4 linked regions of the Coturnix japonica genome follow. The protein of the gene in region 1 purifies or fractionates together with the protein of each later gene. This does not show direct contact. Links are inferred from orthologs where the notes say so. Each region holds a gene or a part of one and is shown on either strand. Other genes may lie near its edges.

Evidence for each region.
Region 2: the proteins of CLGN (region 1) and SLC30A1 purify together in Homo sapiens (co-immunoprecipitation; 3 studies listed by BioGRID and IntAct, with this or other methods). This does not show direct contact. The link is inferred for Coturnix japonica from reciprocal best matches to the Homo sapiens genes CLGN and SLC30A1.
Region 3: the proteins of CLGN (region 1) and SLC12A2 purify together in Homo sapiens (co-immunoprecipitation; 3 studies listed by BioGRID and IntAct, with this or other methods). This does not show direct contact. The link is inferred for Coturnix japonica from reciprocal best matches to the Homo sapiens genes CLGN and SLC12A2.
Region 4: the proteins of CLGN (region 1) and TCTN2 purify together in Homo sapiens (affinity purification with mass spectrometry; 3 studies listed by BioGRID and IntAct, with this or other methods). This does not show direct contact. The link is inferred for Coturnix japonica from reciprocal best matches to the Homo sapiens genes CLGN and TCTN2.

The regions. Positions count from the first base shown.
Region 1 is NC_029519.1:26,013,209-26,020,657, forward strand, and holds part of CLGN (calmegin), read right to left. Parts: intron 7,206-7,449; coding exon 7,147-7,205; intron 6,415-7,146; coding exon 6,273-6,414; intron 5,473-6,272; coding exon 5,391-5,472; intron 4,626-5,390; coding exon 4,433-4,625; intron 4,323-4,432; coding exon 4,133-4,322; intron 3,441-4,132; coding exon 3,327-3,440; intron 2,762-3,326; coding exon 2,605-2,761; intron 2,207-2,604; coding exon 1,991-2,206; intron 494-1,990; coding exon 374-493; intron 193-373; coding exon 42-192; intron 1-41. UniProt on the Homo sapiens protein: Functions during spermatogenesis as a chaperone for a range of client proteins that are important for sperm adhesion onto the egg zona pellucida and for subsequent penetration of the zona pellucida.
Region 2 is NC_029518.1:19,573,114-19,581,321, reverse strand, and holds the start of SLC30A1 (zinc transporter 1), read right to left. Parts: upstream 4,214-8,208; 5' UTR 4,188-4,213; coding exon 3,566-4,187; intron 690-3,565; coding exon 1-689. UniProt on the Homo sapiens protein: Zinc ion:proton antiporter that could function at the plasma membrane mediating zinc efflux from cells against its electrochemical gradient protecting them from intracellular zinc accumulation and toxicity.
Region 3 is NC_029547.1:50,493,919-50,501,367, forward strand, and holds part of SLC12A2 (solute carrier family 12 member 2), read left to right. Parts: intron 1-639; coding exon 640-751; intron 752-2,224; coding exon 2,225-2,365; intron 2,366-2,554; coding exon 2,555-2,661; intron 2,662-4,095; coding exon 4,096-4,175; intron 4,176-5,479; coding exon 5,480-5,620; intron 5,621-6,311; coding exon 6,312-6,359; intron 6,360-7,449. UniProt on the Homo sapiens protein: Cation-chloride cotransporter which mediates the electroneutral transport of chloride, potassium and/or sodium ions across the membrane. Plays a vital role in the regulation of ionic balance and cell volume.
Region 4 is NC_029530.1:4,194,313-4,200,799, forward strand, and holds part of TCTN2 (tectonic-2), read right to left. Parts: intron 6,453-6,487; coding exon 6,379-6,452; intron 6,082-6,378; coding exon 5,886-6,081; intron 5,660-5,885; coding exon 5,559-5,659; intron 5,322-5,558; coding exon 5,125-5,321; intron 4,896-5,124; coding exon 4,757-4,895; intron 4,517-4,756; coding exon 4,381-4,516; intron 3,739-4,380; coding exon 3,673-3,738; intron 3,021-3,672; coding exon 2,892-3,020; intron 2,626-2,891; coding exon 2,548-2,625; intron 2,249-2,547; coding exon 2,168-2,248; intron 1,741-2,167; coding exon 1,629-1,740; intron 1,285-1,628; coding exon 1,181-1,284; intron 812-1,180; coding exon 655-811; intron 475-654; coding exon 349-474; intron 213-348; coding exon 124-212; intron 1-123.

The sequences.
Region 1 (7,449 bases):
TTTCCATGCTTTTACATTTATCCAACTATGAAGTGACTTACTCATCTTACCATCTTCACCAATATCTTCGTTGTCTTTTTCTTCTAAATCTATTTCATCATCTTCTAACTCTTCTCTTCTTTGTTTTACTTCTCCCTTTGTAAATGGCATAGACACATCTGTTTTTTTCAAGTTGAAATCTTCATCTGTTTTCTAAAACAAATTAGAAACCAATTTATTTAAACTCAGATTAAGAATTAAACACAACTATCACTAGGAGCTAACTAATATCAGTGGCACAGTAAGAGAGCATACTGTTGTACAAATACAAGGAGTTTTAAATGAAGTATTAAGAAAGACAGAAGAAGAAAAATGCATTAAAAATTTCTCTAACCTTTGCCGGCCAGCAGAACAACACACATAGACCAACAGGCAGAGCTAAAGTCAAGATATAGAGAACCCAGAGCCATGGATGGTCTTCTGCAGCAGTCACCAGTTGACTAAACATTCCAGGCTATGTTAAAAAAATAAATAAAATTGCATTTATATCCCTTTCAACACTTAGATAAGCTTATAAAATGTATATATTTTAATATTCACACCACGCAAAGAAAATCCTTCAAGTTTGAGCAACCTCATGTTTTCCATTCTCCCCAGCTTTTTTACTCTTTCCCCATACTGTGCCAACACAACCAATAGTTCCCAAAGCATCAAGAACCTCAGAGGAACAGCCAGCCACTTGAAGAACAACATCTTGCTCTCTCTGTACTGCCACTTTGCTTCCTCTGATAGCCAATTAATCAGACAGTCAGCTGCCTTCCAGCCCAGTTCTTACTTATGGAGTAGTAGGAGGTAGGCAAGTCTTGGTTCAGTTAGACTCTGGGAAGGGGACATCAGCAACCAAGGTAGAAAGCTACAGGGGCAGCGTAGCAAAGGGACTTCAGAATTACCTTCTGCTGTTGTATGTGCAAATACAGATGTAACTCCAGACATAGAAACAAATATTTGAAATGTGCAAGGCTGTGAAACAAGGGGGCTTTCCTAAATTGCACGGACAGTCTGTTGCTACTTTCTCATCCTTTCTGCAAGAAATAGCACCTGCCAGAGACTGACCATACTTACACAGCCAATCCATCATTTCTTTCATATACCCACAGGTCTGCCTTCATCCCCCAAAGTAAATACAGGGCTGTCAGAACAAACCACTCATGAAAGTGGAACAGGCTTCCTAAAAAAAAAATAAAAATGATGCCCTATGCCTGTCAGTATTCAAGAGACAATTTCAACAATGCCACTTAAAATCCTGTATGGCCCTAAAGAAGTCAAATAGCCACGCTCTGAATAATCTTTGAATGGTTCATTCCAACTGAAGTACTCCCTCTCAACTGCAGTCAGCAAAGGCAGCCACTAGAGGGGCTCACGTTCCCATCTATTAGGTCAAATTCATTCTATGACACAGGGAAGAGATCTAGAAAAACTGGTGACTGGCCAACTGTAGTAAACAAAACATGGATGTATACACACAAACAGAAGAACAGATGCAGCTCCATAAACACGCACATGTTATTGTCAGAGTTGCATAACATAAGATCCAAGCAGACAGAGACATAATTTACTAAACACAAAAATACATGACTATTAACCACTTTTTATGATAGGAGAGCACATCAGAAGCACATAAAAAGAAGTTAAGTCAAAAGTGACAAGTTTTAAGTATATAAAGAGGCCTGGTTGCAAATAAATCAGCTTCCATCTGCTGACAGGCACTGAATTGTAGTACCACCATTAATAGTGGAAGGTGCATCAACTACAATGAAATGTTGCTACATTTCTTGTAAGATACTTGAGTAAAATGTTGTACCCTTTTAATTTCAGTCCAGTATTGATCAGGGAAATATCATAGCTATTCTGTAAGATTATCAATCACAGAATAATTATATTACAGAAAATTATTCCAACAGAACTCCTTCCTTGCTACTTCTGGTTATCAAGAATATAATAAAATTGATACCTCATTAGCACTTGCTACTAATTTCTTCAAGCCCCAACCGTCTGCTGCCCAACGATCAGCGACTTCTTTTTCTGAGCATATTATGAAGTTATCAAAGTAGATATCAGATGTCATAGACCAGAGTTCTAAACCAATAGCACTGATAGGTGTCATCTCAAATGGGTGAGGATCTTCAAAATAGTCTGGGTTAGGTATTTTCCGAGGACTCCAGATTCCCTTTTATGGGGAAAGAAAAACATGTAATAATATTATCTATACCACAAAAATAAACATAAAAAAACCCACTCACAACAAAACAGGAAAATACATTTTAATGCAATTAAGACTTTCTGATTATTTCAACTACATGATTTAAAAAGCAAAGGGTAAGCCTCTGAACTTCAGGAAAACAGACCTGGAAACAACCTATGGAATTTTGGCAGATAGGTCTCAGATTTTTGGCTTAGGACAGACAGATTTCTCTTAAATTCAAACCTTTTTCCTCCATATTGGGTTATAGTAGTAAGTGACCATATCAGGTTCAGTATGAAGGGCCAGACATATGTACTAATTTTACTTTTCTGCTTGGTTGAGCTCCACATCTCTTAAATAATAACCTACAATATTGCTAGTACCTGATAATTAGGATTAACTATCATAGGTGCTTTCCATTTTCCTTTATACTTGGGGTTGTTCTTCATGGGACGCACCCACAGTCCACAACCAGGTGCAGTTGCACACTTTGGATTGGGGACCTGAGGAGCTTCCCACTCCCCATCCATTTCTTCATCCCTACAGAAAGAAAGGTACAAATAACCAATTGCAGGTTGGTCTGATCAGAACACTAACATTCAGTATAACTTGGGATCCGTATGTATTTTGCTGTAACAACCTCAGAATTTGGCTAAAGTTCAGTGGGCTGATCTAACTGCAATGTACATTTTCCAGAGGACTGAATGCTTTAAGGCCACACATTCGTAACTACTAGAGCATGGTTAAATGCAATCATACTCCTACGTCTGCAGGCAGCTTGCATCATTTCCATATAACATGCTTTAGGACTACTACATGACTTCAAGCATCAGCTTCAACTGCTTTGCTGCTTATCCCCATGGTAGGTTCTTTCAAATAGCTCCTTACTGTTTACAGCTCTTCAGAATACAAGGCAATTATTGACACTTGCATATTTTTCTAAAGGTAGCCTCACAAATCAACAAATATTCAGCCACACTTGTTATGTTCCAACTTAATATGGCAGAGACAGTGGGACTGGGATAAATTCTAATTTACTCAATGTGCCAGAGAACAAGCTTAGCTACAAAGCACATTAACAGATCCACGTGTATTAAATTCTTACCAGTCCTTCGGCTTTTTTGCATTGGGGTCCGGAACATACTGTGGTTCATAATCAAGCCATCCTTCGGGCTTAACAGCATCAAGATCTTCTATTTTAGAAGGCTCATCTTCATCCCTTCAATTACAGACTACTGTTAGGAAATACATCAGCTCGACTCTGAACCAATGTTCTGTTCAGAGGACTGTAACTGGTATGGAGGGGATAATATTCAAGGGCACAACATAGTTAGATGTGCCTATAATGAGAATTAGGTACCTACTTCTCCGTTTATAAACATTTAAACTATAGATTTCAAGGCACTTGTTAGCCCAGAAATAGCTGTCATGGACTGGCAGGTGCGTCAATCAGGTCTCTCCTTAAAATGTTTCCTTTGTTTAAGCTGCTATATGAACAGTACTTCAGGAAGAAGGAAGTATATGTACAACATCTGACCTAGCAGTGGCAACCCTGCCCACAGCAGGGGTGTTGGAACTAGATGGTCTTTCCATCCCTTCCAACCCAATCCACTCTATGACTCTACTAGTAGTGGAAAAACACTCTTCCTAATCCTTCAACTACGGTGATCTTAGTTACAAATTGCATCAACAGAAAGTTCAAATCAGGAAAAGTCAAGATTTTACTTCTTTCCTTAAAAGATGATCAGATCCTCACACTCCCACTTCAGTTACATTTTTTCAACTGTTAGTATTTGTAAAACATATCCCAACTGTTGAGAGCAAGAAAAACAACAAAATAAAGCCAAGCAAATATTATAAAGCAATAACCTGCATACAAAATGTTTTCTACAGATGAAGCTTTCTCCTTACCAGTCATCTGGTTTGACAGCGTTGGGATCAGGTATTTTTTGTCTCTCATCCCAGTCCTCAGGCTTCTTATCAGCAGGATCATCTATTTCTTTGGGAGGGTTTATTGGAGGAATCATATCCTCCAGAAGACTTCCCTTACTGATGACTGATTGGTCGATCAGCATTTCAAACGTATCATCTGGTTTCAGCACTACATTGAAGGAATTTACATTAAAGATCAATTAATCTTTAATTAATTAATTAATTAAATTAGAAGAGATTTTAAAAAATTAGTTTAAACTTGTAAAAACTAAACAATACCAAGAGTGTATAGGTGTGTCTTCTTGTCCAGATAGAACTTCTTTAGGTCCACATCGGGACGTTTTGCATGTTTTTCATCATATTCTCCAGTTTTAGGATTCTTATGCCTGATGATAAAGTGTAGTTTGTAATCTTCACCACATTTATCTGGTCCAAACATAATAGTATAAGGCGTTTTGTCAAAAAAGAATTCCTGTAGAAGTAAAAAAGTTAAGCATGTGTCAAACTGTACATTTTATCAAGTCATTTGGAGTACTGCATTTCCAAGCTATTGTGGCATATATACAACACAGTTACATTTTTCTAAGAGGTGTTTGACGTGGCCTCTATTCTAACACTGAAAACTGGCAGGGTAAATCATGAAAAGAATTTAACAGATGTTATGAGTTGCTGAAACAGCCTAACTACAGAGATCACTGAAGCCTCCTCAGACAAGATGAATGGGCTTACTAAGTCCTTACCCTTACACTAAGTTGAAATGCCTGCCACAAATCAAAACAGCCACACATACTCTTCTGTACATGTTACACTAAAAGATGGAAGAGAAACAGTTTCTGTTCTTCACAGCCATTTATATTTCAATAAAAATGAAAAACAAGGTATTATTACCCAGCATTTTAGCACTGCTTTCTTGCTCCACAGTAAATAATAATAAGCAATTCTTAAAATAACAGCTTGTTTTCTTCAGAGCATCCTGCATTCAGCTGGTCCAAAATTTCAGTTGTTGTTTTCTTTTTTTTTCCTTTAACTATATAATTTATCTACTTGGAATGCACAGTACCAAGCTATGTTTTTAAGCAACCGCTTGAAGGAAGACCACTTGATTTCTGCAAGTTATCTTCCTGTGAGATACATTCTACGGCAGATGTATTGTCTGCGATGGATCTGTATGTTTATTTAACTTTAAATATGCTAATTCCTCAAATGAACAATTGATAGCAAATGTAAAGGGGCATACCAGATCCAAGTCATCCGTACTGGAGAGAAGTTTAATATACGCACCACCACAGTCAATGCCGCCTTGAAAATTCACTTCGTATCTAGGCAAAGAGCAAATTAAAAGACACATTCCTCATATCAAACATAAATAATCTTCCTATCTGCAGTTCTAATTACAAACACATTAAAATCATGTATGAGTTGCTTTATTTTTTTTATTAGGTGCTACTGTCAAAATATCCCGATGTGACTTTAAGGTTTTTAGTTTCCACACAGACACATTAGCAACCTCAGCCAAAAAATATTTACAGTAGTAATTGCTATAGTTTTTATAGTCTATATATATAGTTTAGTTTCTATAGTCTATATATATAGTTTAGTTTCTATAGTACAGAAAAGTTTCAAACTTGTGTTGACCTGGAGGTTTAGTGGCCCTGCCTGCGGCAGGGGGTTGGAATGTGATGATCATCCGAGTCCTTCCAACCCAGGCCTTTCTGTCATTCTATGACAGTGAGGCAGAAAGAGTTCTAGGAATTTGATTCTCTCTTTGAAACTGCCAATACAGCACTTTTAGCTAGAGGGATCCAAATTGTTGTAGTTGAGTTACACAAAAATACTCTGCAAGTGTAAAAGCAGCGTACTCAAATCACGAGTTAAACCTTCATTTAAAACAAAAAATTAATTAAAATATAATATAAAATGGTAACTTACCACCAAAATATTTCTAGAGTTTGAATATAACTTCTTACACTTGAACTACAATTTTACTTGCTAATTATCATTCGTACTTACAGCTCTGGCTATGTCAGTCAGTGATATGCAAAAGGATTTGCATGACTTCATAGACTTAAAGACTTGAAGCACAGTAGATATCAAGCACAGAATCTGAGGGAATACTTACTGAACAATCAATGGATTTTTATCAAAAATAAATGTCTTTGTTAGCATAGCTGATATTGCGTGATGCTTTGCAGCCGATTTTAGCACTAATCCTTTGTCTCCAGGTACTGTGTTTTCTTTCAGCTCTTCTACTTCCCATCTTCCTAAAAGAAAGAAAGAAACAAACAACAACTATGCGATCTCCGGGAAAACAAAAAATGTTTTTCTTCAAGCAGGCTATCCATTTTGCTAATTTCCATCTCTAAGAACTAGACATAAGTAAATCCTTTGAAGAGACATTATAGCCTTGTGGCAAAGAGAAGAGTTCACAGCATATAAGACTAATTGCCAAAGTAGGGAAGAAGTCTTGACATTCGATGTCAAAGTTAGAAGTTTAATAACAACCATCCAATAGAGCACTGATAATTCTTCTTTGGATAGAAGTGATTATATAGGACCCTATACTTCCCCAAGCTTTAACTGCTCTGCAGCACTACAATACAAAAAGAATGTTAATGGCACACACATTTGATGCTCACATCTTACTATCAGATCACCAATACAGCATTTCAACCAGTACTTCTCAGCAATTAGAAACCACTAGAATTCTAATTCACAGTAAAGCCAATAAAATAACAACATCCCCAGGTCAGAAGATCTAAGATCTATCTAACCCAGTATTTGGGCTCAGACAACAAGGAGAGAAGAAAGCTTAAGGAAAAAAACCTGAAAGTAATAGAGCCAGAAGTTACAATAACAAGAAATAACAAGCTTCTGCTTTTAAGTAGGTTTCTGAAGGTAAGTACAGCACAACAGGTATACAGCATGAAGGAGAGGTATTTCACACAAAGCAACAGATCAAACATGCAGCAAAAGTAAACATTAAAAGCACTAACCATCATATTTAGCAATGTTGTCATCTGTGTCTTCTTTCTTGGCTTCAGACAACACCCAGCTAAAACAAGAAGCATTCAAGTCACTTAACTACCTATACAAAGTTGTACTATTTAACAAGCGCAGGATAAACAGACTGAGCTTCTACCAAGCGAACTTGTAACATGGATTTCAATGGTCAGCATCATGGAACTTGGTGTAATTTAAAGAATGGGAACAGGAAAGTTACAAGTTTAATACGACACTCATTTTGAGACACTTCCAAAGGATCTAAATGAATGTACAATTACACCCTGAAAAAAACA
Region 2 (8,208 bases), on another chromosome or scaffold:
TTTCCCTCTCCCTGATTCAGAGCCAACGCTGGCAAACTCGGGCTGAATGGTAGTTGCATGAATCCCTTCATCGTGAAAGATCTCTTTGATGCGCTTTGCCACCATCATGTACGTGGAAGGGTCAGGACACTTTATGTGAGCTGTGCCAATGATCCTACTGCCCGCTAGCTGCCAAATGTGTAATTCATGCACTGCTTCAACTCCTTCAAGGGTACGCAATTTTGAGTTCAAAGAATGAACATCTATTTGTTTGGGAACAGTCTGTAGAAGTATAAGGGCCGATTCCCTAAGTAACGGGTAAGTTGTGTAAAGGAGGATACAAACCATAATCAAACAAAGAACAGGATCTAAATATAGTAACCAGCATGGACCAGCCACTGTAATGCTCTCTTGCTCAGACTTGTTTGCACTGCCGAGAGGTTGGGATAAAGTAGCATTCTCCACGCAATGGCTATTGACACATGGATTAAAGCAGGGCCCATCTTTGGGACATGGATTCCACAAACCATAGAAGAGCAAGGCATTCACTACGACAATTACTGAACCTAAGGCATCTCCAAATACATGCAGAAAAACTCCCCGCATGTTCAGCTGTGCGCTGGAGTCTTCCTCAACCTCTTCAACATCCAAAGGATAATGACTAGCGTTCCCATTCACTTGTAGGTCCGTCGTGTCATCCTTCATATCACCTGACAAGAAAGTAGTAGAGCCATTAGGCACATGCTGTAACAATACACATTGCTACAATTCCATATATAAAAATTATCAACATTAACCCTGCCTCATGCAGCACAAAACTGGAAAACAAGCAACTTGGCCCACTACACTTCTATTTTAACAGAAACCCACTGCCACCTTTTCCAGGTGCTTAACCATTACAGAATCACAGAATTGTAGGGGTTGGAAGGGACCTCTAGAGATCATCAAGTCCAACCCCACTGCCAAAGCAGGCTCCCTACACCATGTCACACAGGTAGGCGTCCAGGCGGGTCTTAAATATCTCCAGAGAAGGAGACTCCACCACCTCCCTGGGCAGCCTGTTCCAGTGCCCAAAGGAGGGTCCTGTTGATGCCCAAAGCCGTGCATTATGAATTATGTAATTCATAAAAGAACATTTTTGTACCCTCTCTCATCAAAAAATGGGCTCCATCACACCCAACAAACTAGGTAGGAACAAGCACACACACCATTATAAAGAGGCAATGTGAAAGGAATCATTTTCCAAACTTCCAAATCGGAATTATTTTACATGATTAACTTCTTATGCTTCTTCAGATCTTTGGACAGACAACTTACAGTGCTAAAGAAATGCAACAGGCATTGACCAATGGCCTGACAAAGTAAAAGAAGCAGCTCTCCCTGCTTCAATGGTTATTGAGTTCAGAGCTTTGTAAACATTAACGTGTTAATATGACCTACAGCTTTTGTCCCTCTGCACTCATGACTGTAATTCTGTGATCATAAAAGTGTCTCCAAGGCCCTTCCTCTCCCAGGAAGGAGGCAGGCACACACAGAGGTGGCTGAGAGGTAGGTCAGGCCCAAGCCCTCAGCTCATCATGCTTCTGTCCTAAAGCTCCATCTACATCTTCCACAGAGTTTCTAGGAGTCACGGAACAAGGAAACGTCACTGAGATCAGTAATTTTCCAGAGAAATGAGTAAGTTAGAGGAAAATATCTCGAGTTACAGAGTTCAGGCTTTGGGGTTCACAATGAGGGCACAGAAACAGGACACTTGATCCATCTCCATAGCAAGCATTTGGGACAAAGGAGATTTGGAGAGACAGTGGATGGGGTGGATAGCAAGAAGCAAGGTTCCAGAAAACTCTGAATCTTTTTAACAGTTCAAATATCTCAATTTGAATTTTGACTCATTTCAAACTAACTATAAACAGATTACTTTACACAAGATGTATGCACAAAGATGCCTGTGCAGGACTAACCCCTGAGGCTGTTGTGGGGATTTCACTTCAACCTCAGGAGAAGGCAGCCTACCCTTCTTCACAGCTCCCTGCTGAGGTACAGCACCAACTTCAGACATTGCCCTGATCTTCACTTGCACAACTTACAGCTTCTTACAAGTCTCCACACACCTTCACCTGTGACACCTCCGTGGGCCAACAATGAATAACTCCATCCCTTACATAATCATGACATGGCAGAGAAGGAAAGGCAAACTTACTTGAAAGTTTCCCCATGCCCCAAATCATGCCTTGTTACTTGCTAAATGCCCACAACAAATTATTCGCTACAGCCAGGACACCCACAGCATACGTTTTAATCCACAAGAGAAGCCAATCTTTTAGCCTACAACTAGACAAGAATTGAGCTGAAAGCACAACTTACATTTCGACAGGCAAGAACAACTCAGAAGCCAAGGCATCAATTAGATCAACAGCTAAATGAATCTTACACGGTTTGAATCTAATTACTAGAATACTTTTGTTGGGACTAACATGACTTTAAGAGGTTATTTTATTTTGTGGTTAAGAAAAGAGTGTAATATACTCAGAGGAACTTTCAATCTTCTCAAAAGCAACAGGGAGTCAAAACACTAAAGAAACTAAGGAGAAAAAGAGGAACTCCAAGTTTCTCAGATGCCCATGGGAACTTCTGACCACTGAAATACTGAAACCATAGCAAAGTTCACTCCGTAGAGGAAAGAGCAAGCTAAGCTCATTCAGCAGTCTCTCCTAATGTTGCCCTGAGAAAAAAAGGAGATACCTGGATCTGAGGACTGAGAAAAAAGGAGAGGTGTGGGTCCAAGGACTGACACTTTTTCTTCCCTGTGTATAAGTGAAGTGGAGAAGCAGCAAACATGCAGCTTCCACTGCCACGCAGCATTCAGCTCACACCAAGTGACTTCAAAACAAGCCACCCAGGCTTCTGGATCCACTAAAAAACCAACCTAAGACATTCCCTCCCTCAAAAAAGACAGTGTAATGAGAACTAGGGGGAGAAGATTTTAACAGACAAGCGAATGGGAATCTTCACGCTTTGGAAAGCTAGAGAAAGCAAACTTGAAACCACACGTGTGCTCAGGAGCCAGATAGCTCTGCATTCAGTGCCTACTGCAGGACTTCCTCAGTTCCTCAGTCTCCAAGATTTCTTCCTACACACGCCTCAAAGAAGCACCTCATTACTGGAATAGACTTCACTACGCTACGTCCAGCGGCAGAAAATCTCTCAGGTAGCTGACACCTAAAGCAACATAAAGCCCTGGCTGTCAGGACCAAGGCGCTGAGCTGCACATTGATGCACAGCCGGTTCAGCTGATGGGGCGCTGCCTTGTGACAGGCAAACACCGCTTGTCACGCGCCTCCTCTGCCAGCACCAACTTCTCCCAAGGCAAAGAGTGCTTCACCCCAAGCTTCACCCCTGACCCGCCTGCAAGAGAAAGGCACGACCCAGGGCGCTCCTTATAGCGCCTGCTGAAAAGCTTTGATGCCGAGGTGCCGCCCGCCCCGCTAAGCAGCTTCCCTAAGGAAGGACGGGCGGCCCCACCGAGCTCGTGGGACGGGACCTGCCCCGTTGTCCCGGCACGGGCGAGAGGCGCTCGAGGTCTTACCCAGCTTGTCCTGGCTGAGCCCGTTGGAGCCGCTGCAGTTCTCCACCAAGGTGCTGGTCTCGTCGCGGTGCAGCGCGGCCTCCCCGTCGGCGGGGCTCTGCTCGGCCTTGCCGCTGCCCCGGGGGAGCCGGGAGCCGCCCCCGTGCGCGTGGCCGTGGCCGTGGGAATGGCCGTGTCCGCCGACGCCGTGGTGGTTGAAGAGGCAGAGCCCCAGCAGGTTGATGACGAGCCCCGCCACCCCCACGGCGATGACCACCAGCGGCTGCTGGATCTCGTGGGGCTCGGTGAAGCGCTCGATGGCCTCCAGCAGGATGGTGAAGCAGAGCGCGGTGAGGAACACGGCGTTGACCAGGGCGCCCATCACCTCGGCCCGCACCCAGCCGAACGTGTTCTTCTTGGTGGCGCGGGTGCGCTGTGCGAAGCGCACGGCCACCAGCGCCACGACCAGGGCCATGACGTCGGAGAGCATGTGGAACGAGTCGGACAGCATGGCCAGCGACGCCGTGACGCGGCTCACCGCCACCTCCACCACGAAGAACAGGAACGTGAGCGCCAACATGCACAGCAGCCGCGCCCGACGGTTCTGCCACCACCGCGGCCCGCCCGGCCCCTCGGCCGCCATCCCCCCGCACGTCGCGCCGGGCCGAGCGACGGCGGCCGCCGGCCCGACCCGGCCCGGGTGCGAGGAGAGCCGGCGAGCGGCCCTCGGCGGAGCCCCGACGGACAACGCCGCTCCGTCTCTCCGCCGCCCGACCCGGCCGCTCGGCCGCCGCTCCCAACGCTGGCGCCGGGCGAGCAAACTTTGCACCCGAGCCCCCTCGCTCTTTCCACACGGAACCCGAGCCGGCACGGACACGCCCCCCAGCCCGCGCCCCATTGGCCGCCGCCCCCCGCCTCGCCCGCCATTGGCCCGAGCCCCCTCGCGACGGCCGGCCCCTCCCCGGCGGCACGGCCCGGCGGCGGGCGGGGGGGCGGGGCTCGGAGTGACGGCGGCCGCCATTGGCGGAGCGCGGCCGCTGCTCCAGTGCGGAACCGCCCCGCGGCCAGCGGGACTCGTGCAAAAGGTGCCGCTGCTTCACACGGCACCCACGGCGCCAGAGCGGGGCGGGGCGGGGCCACCCCTGAGGGACGGCACGGGGCGGGATGCGATGCGCCTGAACGGGCCGGGGGCGGCTGTGGGAGTGGGGGCTGAAGGGCTCCTGGCCCGGCCCTCAATGGCTCCTGGTCCGGCCTGAGGGGACATCGACCCTCAGTTCCATCCCGCTTCTGAAAGTGCTGAGCAAATAATGTGATGAGCCATAGCTGTAAGTATCACAGTTATGTGGTTTGTAGGTACATGCACAGTCACATACATGCCCAGGGAGGTGGTGGAATCTGCTTCTCTGGAGATATTTAAGACCCGCCTGGACGCCTACCTGTGTGATGTGGTGTAGGGAGCCTGCTTTGGCAGGGGGTTGGACTTGATGATCTCTAGAGGTCCCTTCCAACCCCTACAATTCTGTGATACATAACCATTCATAGTTATATAACTTCTGATCATTAATTGCTTAAATATTCCGTCGGAAGGAGGAAGTAATTGCGCTTGAGGAGGTTTTGGAAAGCTGTAGTCTAACAGAAGCATTCAAACACTTATAAATCAGCCCGTAGATTTCCATTGAATTTGTGGTCAAGGAAAGAAAAAGGATAGAACCACTTTGGAGACTTCTGGAAACATGACAAAAATGCCATCACAAAAATGACCGAATGGCCGAGTTGACTCCTTCCTTTACCAGCAGCGTTCCAGGAGGGCCAGCAGATACGGCAGCAAGGAGCAGGGACCAAGAACGTTCCTTGCACGGGTGGACAATGAAAAGCAAGGTGACAAGTAGCCATCGCTGCTTGTAATGTGGAGGTGTAGCTTCATGTCTGCAGTGCACGCAGGCAGTGTGAGATCTGGTGGTTGGGAAAGATGTAGCAGGAATACAAGAGCCTATTGCTATGCCTGGAAGTTCCAGAAGGATCTTGATGTGGGGGCTGTGCAATGGTCTTTCACAGCTGGAGCAGACTCAGCACAGTTCCATCAAATCCATGTGTGCTACCATGCTGCTCTGGTCTTGGCATGCCACTGGCTCTTATTCACTTACACTGTAGTGTATGTACAGGGCATGACAGGCATTCCTGTACTGACCCATGAACTATGAACCCTATTTTCTGAGATTGTTCTTACCAAAATCTAGGTCTGCTCTGTTTTCGTTTTAGCTTAGGAAACCATATGGCATGTTTTAATGACTACCAGTACGTCAAGAGTGCTGCAAGGGAGTCAGCAATCAGATCACTGTAACGTTTTCCTCATCTACTTGGCTTCCCTTGTGCCATAGTATCATTTAATAAGGTGGTGTAGGTAATTGGGAAGCTGACCGTCAATTACACCATTACAGTGCAACATGCTCTTGTCCTGTGCTCCTCACCCTCACACATGGTCATTAGTTATTGAGATAGACTTGCCAAATGTAGGATATATGGGTCAAGGAAACCAGCACAACTTAAACCTCCTTTACTTCATTGGGGTTAATTTTTTATAGGGATTGGTGTTAATCCAGTGGAATTTGTGTAGCTAGGAAGAGCGAGGAGTTTCATGTCCCTCACTTACTAGACTTGAGAATTACTGAAACCAAGTCTTCGTTGGTTCCCCTCAGCTGTCATAGTTTTCACAATGACTGGAAGTACTGGGTCTCCTCTTCTCTGTGAAATCATCTGGAAATCAATATCAGCACCATCCTTACCAATAAAACTTGACTGACCTCAAACATGAACTGTATAAAGACCTTTGTTGGCATTCTTAGTATGTGAACAAAGCCTAGATGAATTTGGGATCCTTTTAATATTTTTCTTTTTGCCATGAGGCCTCCTAATCTGCTCAAAGATCCCATGAAACTGGTCAGTCTTCTGCTGTTCTCCCCTTATGGGACAGCAAGATCTGATCCTGCCCTTGTCCAGGAATAGCTTTTCTTGCTATTATACCTGGCTGAATACTGAATTCTTCCTCGGGCAAAAGTCCACAACGTAGGGACTGTATTTCTCAAGAAACAGGAAGGATATGATCATTTGCCAGGCTGGAAGGGATGATGGTTACTCTAGCCTTCTAGTGCTCCCACTGAATAGGGCCGGGCATCCAGATTTGCTCTAGGGGGCCCAGTAGTTACTGTTATCTTCACTCACTTGAAATGCAGGAACTTGCATTAACAGTCCCCAGCTGTATCCTGGTCTTGCTGCTGGACATGGTGAACGCAGACGCTTCCTTAGCCCCAGAATCTTTCTCATGAACCAGTGGGCCCTACACAACCTTTCCTGAGCTTCTCTGTTGTTTTACCATGTATCAGCATCCACAAGGAACAGGGATTGTCCTAAATTTAGGACTGTCCATGTGGCAGCATTATACATTTTAAGATTGATAGGAAGGTGACTGATAAAGGTACCTAGTTACATCTTAAGAATGTGTGCTTACAGGAGAACATTTTGTTCTTTCTTACGAGTTAGAGGAGAATACTATATCTTCAAAGTAGGGAGGACTGAGGTTTTTTTATTTTGTTTTGCTTTGTGGGTATTTTTTTTTAGGCTTCCAGGCATTGTGACTAACCTGATTCTTCTCCAGGCTCTGTTTCCGTTCCACACGTGTGGAATGAACAGTTTCCAAGGCTGCTTGCTTACTGAAAATGCTCCATGTTTTGAGGGGAGAAGTGACTCTGAATCTCCAGTGAGCTGCCTCGTACCACCTCGGATCTGGGTGACAAGATAGGAAAAAGCAAGACAGAGCTGCTTCGTGTTGCCTGTTCTGAGGCAAAAATTTCTGTACTGCATGCTGCTGAACTCTCAGACTGCTGAGCACTGTGGGAAGAATAGGACTTTGGTTGGGAGATTCACTGTTACTCAGCATGTTTGCTGAGTAAATAAAGTCATTACCTTTTCCTTTGAATCTGTGTAAATTTTGTGTGGGGAGAGAGGTCAGCCACAAAGGGCTCTTCGCTACATGCCTTTCCACTTGGAAAAGACGAAGCCTTGTCTATGGCCTTCTAATGCAGTCACATACCACAGAGCGTGCTGCCTCTGTTTAATACCTAACATTTCCTTTCTGCACAGTCATCAGACCTGTCTGCTTTTAATAAAGGCTTGTGGGACTCTGACAAACATGACTCCATCTGTCTGTTCCACTTCAAGGCTGTCAGTGTTCATTTTAGGCTGTGTTTCTTGCAGGCAATGTCTCTCTGTTAGCTGTCCTTGCAAGGTTTCTTCAAATTAGATTCAGTCAGCAGCACGGAAGAGAACAAAAACGTTCACTGTTTATGTATGTTAACAAGTCTATTCCCTGTAATGAGAAACAATACAAATGAAAAGTATTATTGATCATGTAGCCTGTGTCATATTTGTGGTTGTATTCCGATTCGGGAAATCAACATTATCAAGAAAAGGACTTAAACATGTATTTGCAGTTCATTAAGAGGCCTTCTTTGAGTAAAATCAAGTTAAGCACGTGTTGTAATGCTTTCACTTGTGGCCCATGAAGAAAGACTGTATCTGTAAAGGGAGACAAAGAGAATCTTGCTCTATAAAGAGGTTTGTTTTTCCACTTGCTTACTGTATTAGTAAAACCTGGCAGAACTCCAGAC
Region 3 (7,449 bases), on another chromosome or scaffold:
ACAGCTGTTTCTGAAATCCATAGGCATTAAAATTCCTGATTATTTACAAATGCTGTGTTACCTCTGATGTTAAGTTGTACTGTTATCAGCAAAACAGACTGACTTCAGAAACTGATTTGTTGTTGCTTAGCTGTCAAGAGCAGCCCTTTTCAGTCTTAATGCAAATCTCAAATTTGGCATAAGTAATTTATATTACCTTGCTGTGATTAGTGTTGCATGCTGAAGTAGACATTATAGGAAAGTTCTTGCCAAGTAAAACTTCTTGCTTGTGCTGATAGAGTGCTCTGCTGGCCAGTATGCATTTTTAGGTTCCATTGGAAGAACTTGAGCTATTTTGTTTGAAAGTTAATATGTAGCTTTTTGAGTTATAAACTTCATTAATTGTTTTGCGAGGAAGGTATTGGTCTTCTTGCCAGGTGTAAGCACAGAAGCTTTAGTAGTAATCTTTTTGTAAGAGCACTTTGTGGACGATTGATCTTTGCTTAATTTAACATAGTCTTATAAGAATAGATGAGGTTACTTTTCACTGAAGATTGTGTTTCCGAGACCAGTATTTAGAATAAGATTTTCTAAACTATGTAAACTCTCAAGATAAGCGATATTATAACTGCTTCTCCCTACTCTTATTCACAATTTTAGGCCGCAGTGCTTAATTATGACAGGTCCCCCAAATGCACGTCCAGCTTTACTTCATCTTGTTCATGCTTTTACCAAAAATGTGGGTTTAATGATCTGTGGACATGTACATATGGTAAGTGTATTCTATCCTTAATGTTATATTATGTTGTTGTTTGTTCTTTTCCTTTAACAAAACTGTCTCTTTCCTTTTTTGAAAAATGGTGTAGTATCTTGAGGTGTTCAAATAGAGTAGGATTTATTCATGTATATGTCATCACCATCCCCACTTTGGTGTGCTGCAATTTGAGGGAATTATGAAAGTTGTTAAAGCAGGTATTATAGACATCTGTGCTAAATGCTTTTTAACATCTACTTGTAGTTAAAGGGATTTTGCAGTGGTAAAGATGGTGATGGCTATGCGTGAAATGTGGTGTAAGAGGGGGAAATTTTGCAAAATTATTTAAGCAGATATGTTCACTGCTATGCCAGTATTTCTTATACAGCCTAGCCTAAAGTAAGTCTTATTGAGTATCATTTTGTATCATTTGGCTGGTAATTTAGAGTTGATTTTAGCTTCTGACCAGCTTTCATCCTTCCAGTTAACTGATTTGTTCCACTGGCAAGGTGAAACAGCGGTTATTTCTAGTTATTATTAACAGTTATTTCCTCCCCTCTTTCTGTTTCTGACCAGTCCTGAGTATTTCACTAACTTTTCATTGTTACTGTAAGGATGTGAGAGTTCTGGGAATAGGGAGAAGGCTTGTTCTTCAGGGACATAATTTCAGCGCTTCTTGCTATTTTACAGAGGGGAAACAAAACAAAACATAATCACTTTAAGCACAAGAACAGAATGTGTGTATCATGCACTGAACAACAGTGACTGAGGGAGACAGAAGAAAGCAAACTTCAGAGAACTGTTCTTCAAAATCGTGTTGTGATGAATTGTCTTAAATCAAGGTGGTTGTTGCACTACCACCTGTCCCAGAACTGCAGTTAGCAGCAGTGTAGCTGTTGCATCTTTATTAAATGTTACTGTATGCTCTTCAGTGCACTTCAGAACCGTGAAGTTTTTGCTAGACATTTTAATGCCACTCTTTTGCAGGCGCAGTACTAAGAACACCTAAACAAATGCAACCTTTAAAGTGTGACTTTTAATACAAACCTTGATTACTCTTATATATGCTTCAACTTAACCACGTTTTCTAAATAAGGCTTCTGATCTTTTTTTTAAAAAGATTTTTTTTTTTTTTTAAAGTAAATCAGGTTAGTGGAATCCACAATTGTATGCTTTTAAGATGATATTGCCCAATTCTGTTTTCAGTAACGTAACTTCAGTATTTTGATGTCTAGGAGGAGCACAGTGATGTGTGCTGATGCAGGTCAGTAAAGAAAAAATTGAAGTAATGACTTTGCAATATGTTCTATCTATGGTCATAAGCAGAATTGCAGTCCTGTTTTTAGACACGTTTGATTTCAACTCTAGCAGTAAAGTAGCTTTAGGAAAAAAAAAAAGAAACAAACAAAAATGAAAACCACACCAAAAACAGGGCTTTACTTCTGCTCATAAGTCTTGTTCACTCTACTTCGTGTCTCCTTCTTTTGAAAGGGTCCTCGGAGGCAAGCCATGAAGGAGCTGTCAACTGATTTGGCCAAATACCAGCGATGGCTAATTAAAAACAAGATGAAGGCTTTCTATGCACCAGTACATGCAGAGGATTTGAGGGATGGGGGACAGTATTTAATGCAGGTGCACCTCTTTTTTTTTCTTAATGGAAATGGGGGCATTGTATGTCAAAAAGCAGAAAATACTTTGAAGTATTTTCATTATGTAAAGTTCTTAAAAATAACTTCTCAAATCTTTATTTTCTGCTTGAAATAAATAATCTTACCTTTATTTCAGTAATGCGATTTTAACAATATATTATGTTCTCCTTAGGCTGCTGGTTTGGGTAGAATGAGACCAAATACTCTTGTTGTTGGATTTAAGAAAAACTGGCGACAAAGTGACATGAGAGATGTTGAAACCTACATTAATTTGTTCCAGTAAGTAGAAAATGCAGAGAGGTTGCATTTGTTCCATTTCAGTACATTTCTTAAGATGTGAAAAAACTTCTACTTCAATGTCTTTTTTACATAAGCTCTCCTCCTGTCTTTCAGATCAACTTGTCTATACTGCTGTACAGAGAAGTTAGGTTTTTTTCCTGATAAAGAAATTATATGAGCAACTCTTTATTGCTTCAGCAGACCAGATTTCCACATAACTCCTGCATTCAGAAGGAGTTGTGGCAGTTGTCTGAGATTTAACTGTTCCTGTCTTAAGTGAAAGAAGCAGTGTCTTATATGTCTGCTGAATTCATCAGACTATTTTCTGTTCAAAGTGGGGGTTTTCTTACTACTTTTTCCCTGTGCAGACTGAGTGGAGGGAATGAATCAACTGTGGGGCTGAAGCTTGCCCTCTTTTAAGATATTTAGTGTAGATGGATTGCATTGATGCCAAAAGTAAAAAGTAGCTAAAAGGTAGAAGAGAGGAAATCTGACAGTACTTTGGTAGTACTGAAAGGCAGACCAGTTCTGTCTGAAAATAGTATTGACTGCTACTGCTAGCATTTTAGAAAAACAGAGCTTTTGCATTTATGTAGAGGGCTTTTTTCTTGGTTTCCTAACATAATGTTAAACCTGTTCCATCTGTGCTTTGCACTTATTTATTATGCCTTTGAAAGAATGATGGAAAGGGATTACAGGCAGATACTAGAAAAGGAAAAAGCACACCCACTCACACTTCCAGTTCCTAAAAAAAAAAAAAGAGTACAAAATAGATTGGGAAAATTGGCAGTGTGTTGGTTAGTACTTGGGTTTGCTTTTTTACTTTATTCATAGTTTACTTTGAAATGTCTTGTACTTGGAGAGCTCTTGTGACCTGCCCAGTCAAGTGATTCTCTGGGCATTCTTTTTGTCTTTCATTTCACTTAGCCTTTAATTCTGGCTATTACTCTGTTTTCTACAGTAATTAAGTTTGCTTTTCTAGCTTTTTGTCTTTAAAAGAGTGAGTTTCTTCCCCATCAGGTACAATAGAAATAAGTGTCTAGTAGCTGTTTTCGTTATAACTTAAAACTTCATAGATTCCTTTAATACCCAAATGTCTTGGAAGTTCATAACTATCAGTTCAGGAAGATCTCGAAAGAAATCCATTCTTTGATGTCTCACTTTCCAGCATCATTTATATTTTCCAGTTTATCTTGTCATCGTCTGTGTGGAACTTGAAGGACCTGTTACTCTTTTATCACTGTTCTATATAGGAGAGAGAGGAAAGATAACCTTTCTGTCTGTTCCTTTGGAATTAAAACTGAAATTGTAACAAATGTATGACTTGGGAATTTAAATAGCAACATTTAATCATTAATATTTGTCTACAGAGTGCATGTAAAGTAGATCTTCTGTGAAAGGGGTAAAATGTTTTGTCTTGTTTACTCTGTTTAGCGATGCCTTTGACATTCAATATGGTGTGGTTGTCATCCGCCTAAAGGAGGGCTTAGACATTTCTCACCTTCAGGGGCAAGGTAAGATTTTGTTTCCTGTCATTATCAGCTGTTACTCTCTTTTGAAACCATTTTCTGAAAATACTAAATGAAAATGGTTTATTTAAAAAAAAAAAAAAAGTGGAAAAAAGTCAAGACTCCCACACCACTCTTTTCATAGAATAAAAACCACTGGAATGAGTAAAGCTAAAATGTATAATAAAAATAACCCTTGTTGAGCAATAGAAATACTTTTCTGTGCATTTCAACTATCTGTGTTTGTAAGCTGTAACTTTCAAATACTTCAGTATTCTTTCTGAAATGCTTTGAAGATCAAAATTGGCATTGAGTTATTCTAGTTGTGGGCTGCCTGATCAGGTAGTATGGGTCATGTGTCTCTCACTCCTTCAGTGTACCCCGTTACTACATACTTTAGAGACCTCAACAGTAATCTGTTGGGTTTCAAGATGTGTCAGGTATTAGTACCCACTGAGGCAATGAGTTTGCTTTAACTCTGGCAGTTACCAAACAGCTTCACTGGAGCCTTGCCTGGAAAAAAACTGAGAAGCATTTTGTTTCGGGATCTTGTGTAAGGATCAACTTCCACTTGGAATTAGAATTTACAATCTTTTTTTGCATGGGAAATGCTTCATCAAATACTTTTTTTTAAATTTTTTTTTCCTTTCTGATTGTAAACAGAAGGAATCTCAATGTGAGATGTAACCAGTATTGTAACTCCATTAACATGATGGTAAAAATGCAGTGCTTTTGTGGTGTGTTTCAGATTTAACACATCTTGTCAACATTATGTTTACACTGTCTGGATTTCTGTGCTTGCTGGTAACAGATACCAAAATCCAGTACTTCTAAGAGGATTTTCCTCTTGTGGGAAACTTAACCACAATGTGAAATACTTCTAGCAGTTATACTACTCAGTTATATTTAGCTCCCACTTTCAAATTCTATTTAAGCTAGAGGTCCTGTCATTACATTGCTACACATCATGTTAATGGTAATGAGCACAAACATGACATTTGTCCTAATTCAGTGTTTGGTAGCTCTGCTTGATATTTAGCCTTCAGTAATGTATTCAAAGCTTAAAATTTTGGAAGTAGAAGGAGATTAAAGCTCTGTTCAGAGCAGGTGCATTTTTTTGTACTCAGAAGCTGTTCATTTGTGGTAGAGGTTTATTTTTGTTATTTTCCCCCTTTGCCATAGCATGATAGGGGCAGTGGGATTGAGCTGTTTAGCTAAATGAAAACCATCTAATTATAGTCACAGACCTCCATCTTATACTATTTGGGACAAGTCAGTGGTTTATAATGCATTTCTTTGCTTTCCCAAAGAAGAGTTACTGTCATCCCAAGAAAAATCTCCATGTTCCAAGGATGTGATAGTGAAGGTGGATTATAGCAAGAAGGCTGAAACAGACACTTCTGTAGCTTTTGTGCCATCGTCTAGTGAGAGAACTCCTGCTCCACATAGAGGTAACTAGCTAAAGTAGCTAACTGCTAGTTAGCAGTGAAATTTGAGTTCTCATTCTTTCTCTTGTTTCCTCTTCAGTCCCTCTCTCCTTCTGATGTTTTTGTTGTATTTGTGAAACAGAGAAACTGTCATTCTTTTTGGGGTGCTGATATCTAATAGCTCAAATATTTTGCTTACAAGTATGTATATCATATTTTTATGACCTAAATAAAAATGATGATGGCCTAAGGCCAGCACTACCTTTTTTTGTTTCTTAGTTAATGAGATTGAATGCCAATAAAAATTGCTTGGGAATTGGGCCTCACAGCTGTTTGTTAGCAGCATGATTAAGGCTGGTTAATTCATGATGGTGGTTTTCACCTCAGGCTTGAGTATATTTCTATCTGCATGTTAACTAACACAAATCATCTGGGATACTTGACATGACAATAACCAACTTTCTTCTTCTTTTGCAAGTAAAACTTTGGGCTGACTTAACTATTGAGAAATATGATTAAGTTACTATTGTGTTCAAATACAAATTATTCTCAGAACATGGTAGACCAAACTCGTGTGGTTTTCTTTGTATGAAAATCCATTTCATTTTCATTTTTCTTTTCTTTTCCTTTGTTTTTTTTTTATACACTTGTACTGTTTTCATTAACATCACAGAGGATATTAACCTTTTTATTTTGTATCTTTAAAAATCTCCAGAGGAGGACGAGGATGGAAAGACTCCAACACAACCCCTGTTGAAAAAAGGCAGGCATTTTTCACCTTTTTGTTAAATCATACTTTCACGTTGTTAATTTCAGTTTTCCTTTTGTACTCCATCCTACACGTATATTTGAAAGACAGAAAAATATCAGCTTTGCAAGCTCAATTTGTTTCTTCATATTTGCTTTGAAACTTGCTTCATCTGTGGGGATTAGGTGTGCTCAGGAGCCTCCTAAGTTATTCATGTCTTAGGTATTTGTCGGAGTCAACTTGATTTGGGTACAGTAGATGTATTAATTATGTAGTGGAAGTGCCTAGTTGGTCTATTCAGTCATCTTCTAAATCTGTATTTGTTGCTTTGAGTTGTTCAGTAGTTTGCAAAGCAAAGGATAGTGTAGCCAATCTGTGAGATTAACATCTGAAATAATGTGAAGTATTCATTCAGATTAGCAGCATTTTCAGAGGTGAATTTTCACCTAGTTTATTTCAGACTTTTTTGAGAATTAAGCACGGTTTAGTGGGGGAGGGGGGGGGGGGGAGGTTCTGTTTTTTTGGGGGTTTGGTTTTTTTTTTTGGCCTTACCTAAAAAGCATCTTGTCCTATTTGATGTTTGCTTCATAATTTCAACATCTAGAAACCCTTGTTTTTTAATAGCATAATGTGAGATTACGCCCTAAGCCACAAGATGGCAGTTTGGAGAAACTCCCAGTAAGCAGTAAAGTAGAATACTAGTAAGTCAGGTACAGATATGCTCTAAATTTCAGAATAACTCCCAGCTCTTGTTAAAACTAGAATCTTAGCTAAGGGGAGGGAGTTAATTTGTCTTTTGTCTTTTTCAATTGTTATTTTAAAATATATTTTCATTAATGTAATAATGTATTAATGTAATTGAAAAAAGCCAGTGTTGTTGTCTTCTCAGTAAGTCCAATGACATCATTGCAGAAAATAACCTGTTTTGTGCTTCAGAGCCTAGCAAACACAAAATTACTTTTGCAGGTTATTCTGACGTTTAGAACTAGTTTTCTTTTCTCTTCTTGAAGGAAGAAGAATTTGAGGAAATATCAGTGCCCGAGGGAGCGGCATAGAGCTGTGTCAGGGAAAGGAGGGGCAGCTGGGGGTCAGGAAAAGGTTGTGC
Region 4 (6,487 bases), on another chromosome or scaffold:
GCTTCTGGACCATGTTTAGATCTCCCACTACAGATCACTGCTTCACCAAAATTGGCCAAATTTCATGATGTTACCACAAAATAGAGGCTGTTTGTGGCATTCCACGTTGCTGGTTGTTTTTACCTGTGTAGAACCGTGTCAGCGGGTACAACAACTGCGGCCAGCAAATGTCATTGCGAGCACAGTCAAATTCTGTGTAATTCATCTGAAATCTGAGGGGGAAAAAAGTGCTTATTAAACTACGGCAGGAGCAAAACAAGTAGAAGCCTTTGATAAGCCTTTAATGAGTGTGAATTAGTATTTTATCTGCTTAACTTAACATCAAGGGTCAAAGATCTCACACGTTACCTGCTCATGGGAACCGGGGGCTGAGCCGGCACTCGGATGAACTCCACAGCAGCCGTGATGGGCAGCAGGCTGCCAGGGTTTGCACAGGGAAGGCCGCACTGGAACTGCCACGTGACTGTGGAGTAACTGGAAGCACGTGTGTAAGCGTTACTAGAGGGCTGTATGTGGGAATTTAAAGCTTAAACAAGGCCATGAAAGGAGGATTTACAAACTATAAGTAACATCTTTGTCAGATTTATCCGGGTATGACACGTAAGCGAGTTGCAAAGTTGAAACATTTCTCTATCAGAGACAGCTGGGCTCTACCTGGTCTGCACGGCCAGTATCTCCTCCCTGGGAACCCCCCACACTGCACCCACAGCTGCAAAAATGATCCGAATGTTCAGGTTGGCAGGAACATCTGGGCAAATGCCCTTCAGATCTCCAGGGCTCCCACTGATATTCAGGTTAGACGGTTCCAATCCTGTGGAGGAACAGAGTGAAACAGAAATCCTATGCAAAATGATCTCTTCCATATTTGTATTACTGTCATATTGCAGTGAAATGTTGATAACTGCTGCACAAAATGTGTTTTCTATACGAAATATACATGAAGAAGTATGGAGTTCAACAGAGGAGTAAAACACCAAATCATTACATCAACAGACTGACAGACACATCACTCTACAGCATCAGTATATTATTAAACACATCTGTACATATCTGGATGCATGGACCCAGGTACCTTCAGGCATCTGAAATTACACGTTGGCTTTATTTGGAGGTGGTCCAATCCTAAGTGCATCTTTTTATAGCGACGTGGGCTGTGAATAAAACTACAAGTATCACTTACGTATAATTTGCACCCAGTCTTTGGGATTGCTGTCATTGGAATTGCGTCTCTTCCCAACATGAGTAGCTTGTATTAACGAATTCAGTTTCTCGATTACATTTTCTCTGCCAAATAAAAACATCAGCTCATACAAAAAGCAAATCTACAGCATGAACTTCGTTACAGCATCACTATGCCATACAATGTGTCCTCTGACAGATGCTATTACTCAGTTAAAACAAACCTCAACTACTGACTCATCTGCCCAAGGGAAGCACTCCACCCCAACGTAACCCTCACTTAAATACATGGAAATCTGAATGAAACCATTTTAATAGATTTCCCTTTAAAAAAACAGAAGAGGGTCAACCACAGAAACCTGTGACGTATACATGAACTTCTGAAAAGAATGCAACTGTGCTGATGGTAGAAACTGGTAGCAAGTGAACAATAAATCTGTGTGGCTCACCTTAAATGGCTGCAGTCTTCATTGACATCAACTTCCAATAGGCACCCAGAGAAAGAATCTACCCCGAACAAAACTGGTGTGTGAGTGGCTGACGTACACAGACTTCTGTCAGCTATGAATTGAAAAGATCCTATTTAGGGATCCTCACAACGACCTTTCAACTCCCACTTCTCATTTTTGTGCAAAAATTGCACATATTAGGATGCAAAACAGCAAGCAGTGTAATTCAAATACAGAATCAAGTCTACTCAAATTCCATTTTCCAACACAGAGCAAATTCACACGCTCAAGAATCTCATGAGCTTAACAACTGCTCGGTTTTAAACCTTAACTTCATACAACATACTCAGATGTTTGAGGATACTGAAGCTACTTTACATTCATTAAATGCAAATTCTTCAATTAAGCTGGAATAAAGGCTAGAGAATAGCGTAGAAAAGCACAATTCGGCATAGAATAGATTCAGAAGTAAAACATGTATATGAAGGCAGCATTTTAGCATTTATGAAAGCTGAGGGTGTAACCTTACAAATCAGTACCTGGCTGCCAAATGCTTAAGCTGCCAGCAGTATCAGAAGCATTCACATTTGCAGCTCTCACTGCGTTTCCAACTTGATAACCTAAATGCAGAAGGAGTTGTGAACATTTTAAATGAATCTATAAGCATTAACATCGATTTAATAATGCACGTAATTAGTCTCAAAGCAAACAGACAGACTTTCCATTACAACAGCCCCATTTTAAATGATCAATACTGAGCCTAAAAGCCAATCACTGTAATTACAGCTGACAACACAATAAGAGGGAAGGAGGGGCACCAGCAGAACAAGTATGAACAAGGTACAAAACGTGGTCACTGCTAATGACCAATCTAGTACCAAAATCTGTTCTTCTATGAAGCAAACTGAGGTATTACTACCTGGATTATTGGGCACTTCTGCTGCATTATCACTCTTTAATCTTACAAATTCAGCCGTGAATCTCTGCGTCAGCATTTCTGGTAAAAGATAAAGGAATGACTTTATGTTCCCATACATAAATTAGCAGGAAGTATGCTGCTTATTTAGGATACAAATTTCTGTCCTACATGAGCACCAGAAGATTCAGGATAATAGCAATTGGCAGAAATTTGCCCCATACATTTTCTTTCCAGAGTCCAAAACTCTTTTTGATCAATATTACTAATTAAGATAAACTATCAAATAATTTACTCACTTAAGAAATAAAAAAAATAGTAAATCTGTACAAGAAAAGTCACAATACCTCCACCATATAGATTTCCTTGGAAGACTGTGACATTCACTCCCTCTATGTTGTCACCTTCACACACGAATGTATAATGCTCTGCAAAGGTTATACTTTGCAATGGAATGCCCACGGTAGGAGGAAATTCTGCAGAAGAAAGAAAAACATACCATAACCAAAAGTACTGCCAATTAGAAAGCTGTAACTGAAAAACAACTTAAAAATCTCTAACAAAATTCTGGAAGATAAATCATTCATCCTTTTAACATTTTTTTTTTACTGTTTAAGTCCCATCATACAAGGACAGTGTGCTGCATTTACAGTAGAATCCCTTCGTTTATCAATATTCTAACACCTGCAGTTCTAGCTCCTGTTGTAGTTGACCCCTTCCTTAAGAACCCAGCACAAGGCCTTACTCCATCAGCTGCTGGGGCCCTCTGGACTCAGGAGTCCCTCTCTTTTTATCTCACCCTGCTGAGAGGGCCATCATCTTCCAGAAATACATGCTAGTATGGATTCAGCACTATCCTGCATTACCCTCCCCACTGACTGGGAGCCACTGTTCTAAAATAAAAGCTGCTTCATTGGCTCCAGAACCTTAAAAAGGCACAAGAGTGTTCAAAATTCAGGCACATCCAGCACTGCTTACAGGCTGCCTGCCCTGCCTGCTTTGTTCAAATATTAGAATACACACAAGATCCTTCCTAGGAATCACGACAGGTAAATGTTTTAGGCACCCCAGTCACTTGTGTCATCCAGGTTAAGAAAGAAACACACTAATTACACAGCAGAAACATACCACTTTTAGTGATGAATTTGTCCCTGTCAGTGACGGTTTTGTAGGTCACATTTTGTTGGATGAAGTCTGAGAATAAAAAACAAATGCTGCAGTAATCCTGATAAAAGAATCATATACAACATTCACATCCAAAGTACTCCTTTTTGTTATAGAAACTGTGCAGAAAAGTATTTAGAAAGCCAGTTTTGGTAATAAACCAGGCAGGTTATGTGTTAGAGCATAGCTAATTATCTCTGCTTCTTACTAAGGTAGTGTAAATAAAATTAGACAACGTAATTAAACAGCATAAAATAAATTCTCTTCATGTTGGTAATTGCATCATCTCAAACTCCAGAATGACATTTCTTATATTTATGCTTTTGTAATGCAGAGAGTAAGCACTTCTAATTCTAAAGTGACAACACTGCACCCTCTTGACAGAAAAAGGAGGTTCCAAGAATACAAAAACATGATGAGAGATGCTTCCTTGTGCCACATGCAGCCATATGAGTCACCAGAAACAGATAAATGGGAAACAAAGGCTAATCCCACTATTTCTCCTATCCCAAGTCCTGGGTAATACAGAGAAGCTTGGCAGGTGATCAGAAATAGGACTATAACATCCCTAAACACTGAACTATAGCCATGTAGCTGCCACGTCAACAGTCCTCTCGTTAATTCTACTTCTGAAGAACATAACTACATTTCTGTTAGGACTATGCGACATACCTCCTGTTCCACTGTTGATTTTCACATCATGGGACAGTCCTTCCTTGTAAGATGCTGCATCAGAAAGGCACCTCACGTCAAAGTCCTGCAGAAACGCTACAGGGGCATTTCCAGCACACTGCCCTGCCAGGGACGGCTGCAGGTAGTTGAACAGAAACGTATGTGAGCCTTAAAGGCAAGGAAGGGGAGGGGTGGGCAGGGGATGAGGAAAGATAATTATTGTTATTAACAATGATTTTGTGCTTGGTGAAAAATATATTCCACCAGTTCATAAGAGCAAGTTACAGAATCTGGTTACAAACACAAAAGAATGTGATAAATGGAGAACTTCAACTAGCCAAGAGGAATCAGAAGCTCCTAAATATGGAGCAATTACCTGAGGGATGGTAAAATACTCGTCATCTTCTGTCATAATTGGATCTCCTGCTCTGTAACCAGTGAACACTTTCCCAGGAGAAGCCTGTACAGGGATCCTAAATGGACGAACTCTGGGTGCAGAACTTCTGGGTGCAGAACTGCAAATAAGTTCAAAAATGAAACAATTCTTTACTCCTCACATTACATGGTGAATTAAATATCTGCCTTCCAGTCCCGTGCTCTCAAAGTACCAATTATATTTCTCCATTTACATTTAAAGTGATCGATTTATAATTTCAAAATAACTTTCACTGTAAAAAATACATGCTACAGTTTCAATGTAATGTCTAAATTGTGTATTGAGGAAAGAAATATTTTCAGACTTACACAGAGCCATCATAAAAATAGCCAAGAAATGGTGTATTGCTAAGAGAAGACTGTATGCAAAGGAAGGGAAACCAATCAGGAGTATATTCTGTTGTCTGTGTGGAGCACAGCTGATCAAAAGGTGGGTTTACATCCCCACCAAACACTCCAGTGAAACACGATCCATTGAATAACTGCTTCAAGTCTGGTGTACACTCCTGGAAGGGAAAAGAACACCTTAATGCCATAATTGCACCACCACGGCCTCTAGTGCTGTATTTGCAGATAACCAAGCCAGCCCTGTAGACAGATGTCATATTTACTATTAGAAATACCACAAAACCCAGGCAGACCCTATTTCTACTTTGAAATACTCAGTAATTCTCCCTCCAGACAACAGAAGGAACATAGAAATTCTAAAACCATTTCATCAAAGTTTAATATGAAATAAGTACCGGATCACAGCAACAACGAACATCACAAGCTCCATCTGTCAAGTCACAAGGACATGAGCCCAAGGGCTGAAACACCTGGTTAGGGATGACAGACATGATTTCTGTAAGAGAATTACAAGAAAAGAAGAGAAAATTCAGGTCATACAGACTGGAATCCCAAGAAGCAGACAACATGCATTACAGCCAATCCCACCTGCATATAAATCCTTAAATGCTAGAGAAATTTAATCTCTCATTGCTGTCCAATTCCCAATTTTACTTTTCTTTTTTCTGGTACAGAAAGGGGAAGTAAATACCATTTCTTCCTCAGGATATCCAAGTACTTACCTGACACATTTCCCATAAAGGAAGAGTTGGCATATATTTCAGCTTGAATTATGAGACGTGCCAGCATCGCCGAACCACTGCAAGCTAAAACCTGAACTGTTTCCACCACACAGAGAGGTGCTGTGCAGCAGTCGGTGGCATTGGGCAAACATAACTGGAGATTTCTAGTGAAGGTTACAGTCACTTTGGATGAACCCTGCAAAACACAAAATGATGGATTCAACAGCTTGTACCAAATTACTGTTCTTTGTATCATCACCTGCCGGGAAGCACAGGCAGTTCGGGAAAGGAGAAAGACAAGAAACCAGCATCAAAGCTGCACCTTAGCAACTTCCAACATGGGCATCCAGATGATGGGACATAACAAAGGCAAAAAGGGAAGGCACTCTAACTGAGCTGTCAGTAAACTAATATTACATTAGCACTTCATCAGCCTTTAATATATGATTGCTCAAGCTTTTCTATCTTAGGGCAGAAGCAGTGTTTTACATACCACACCAGCTGTTACACTCAATTCCCAGTCACCAGCTCTTTCATTTCCACCGCAGTTTGGAAGGAGCAAATTTCCTGTATCAAAATTAAAACATAACAAACACATATAT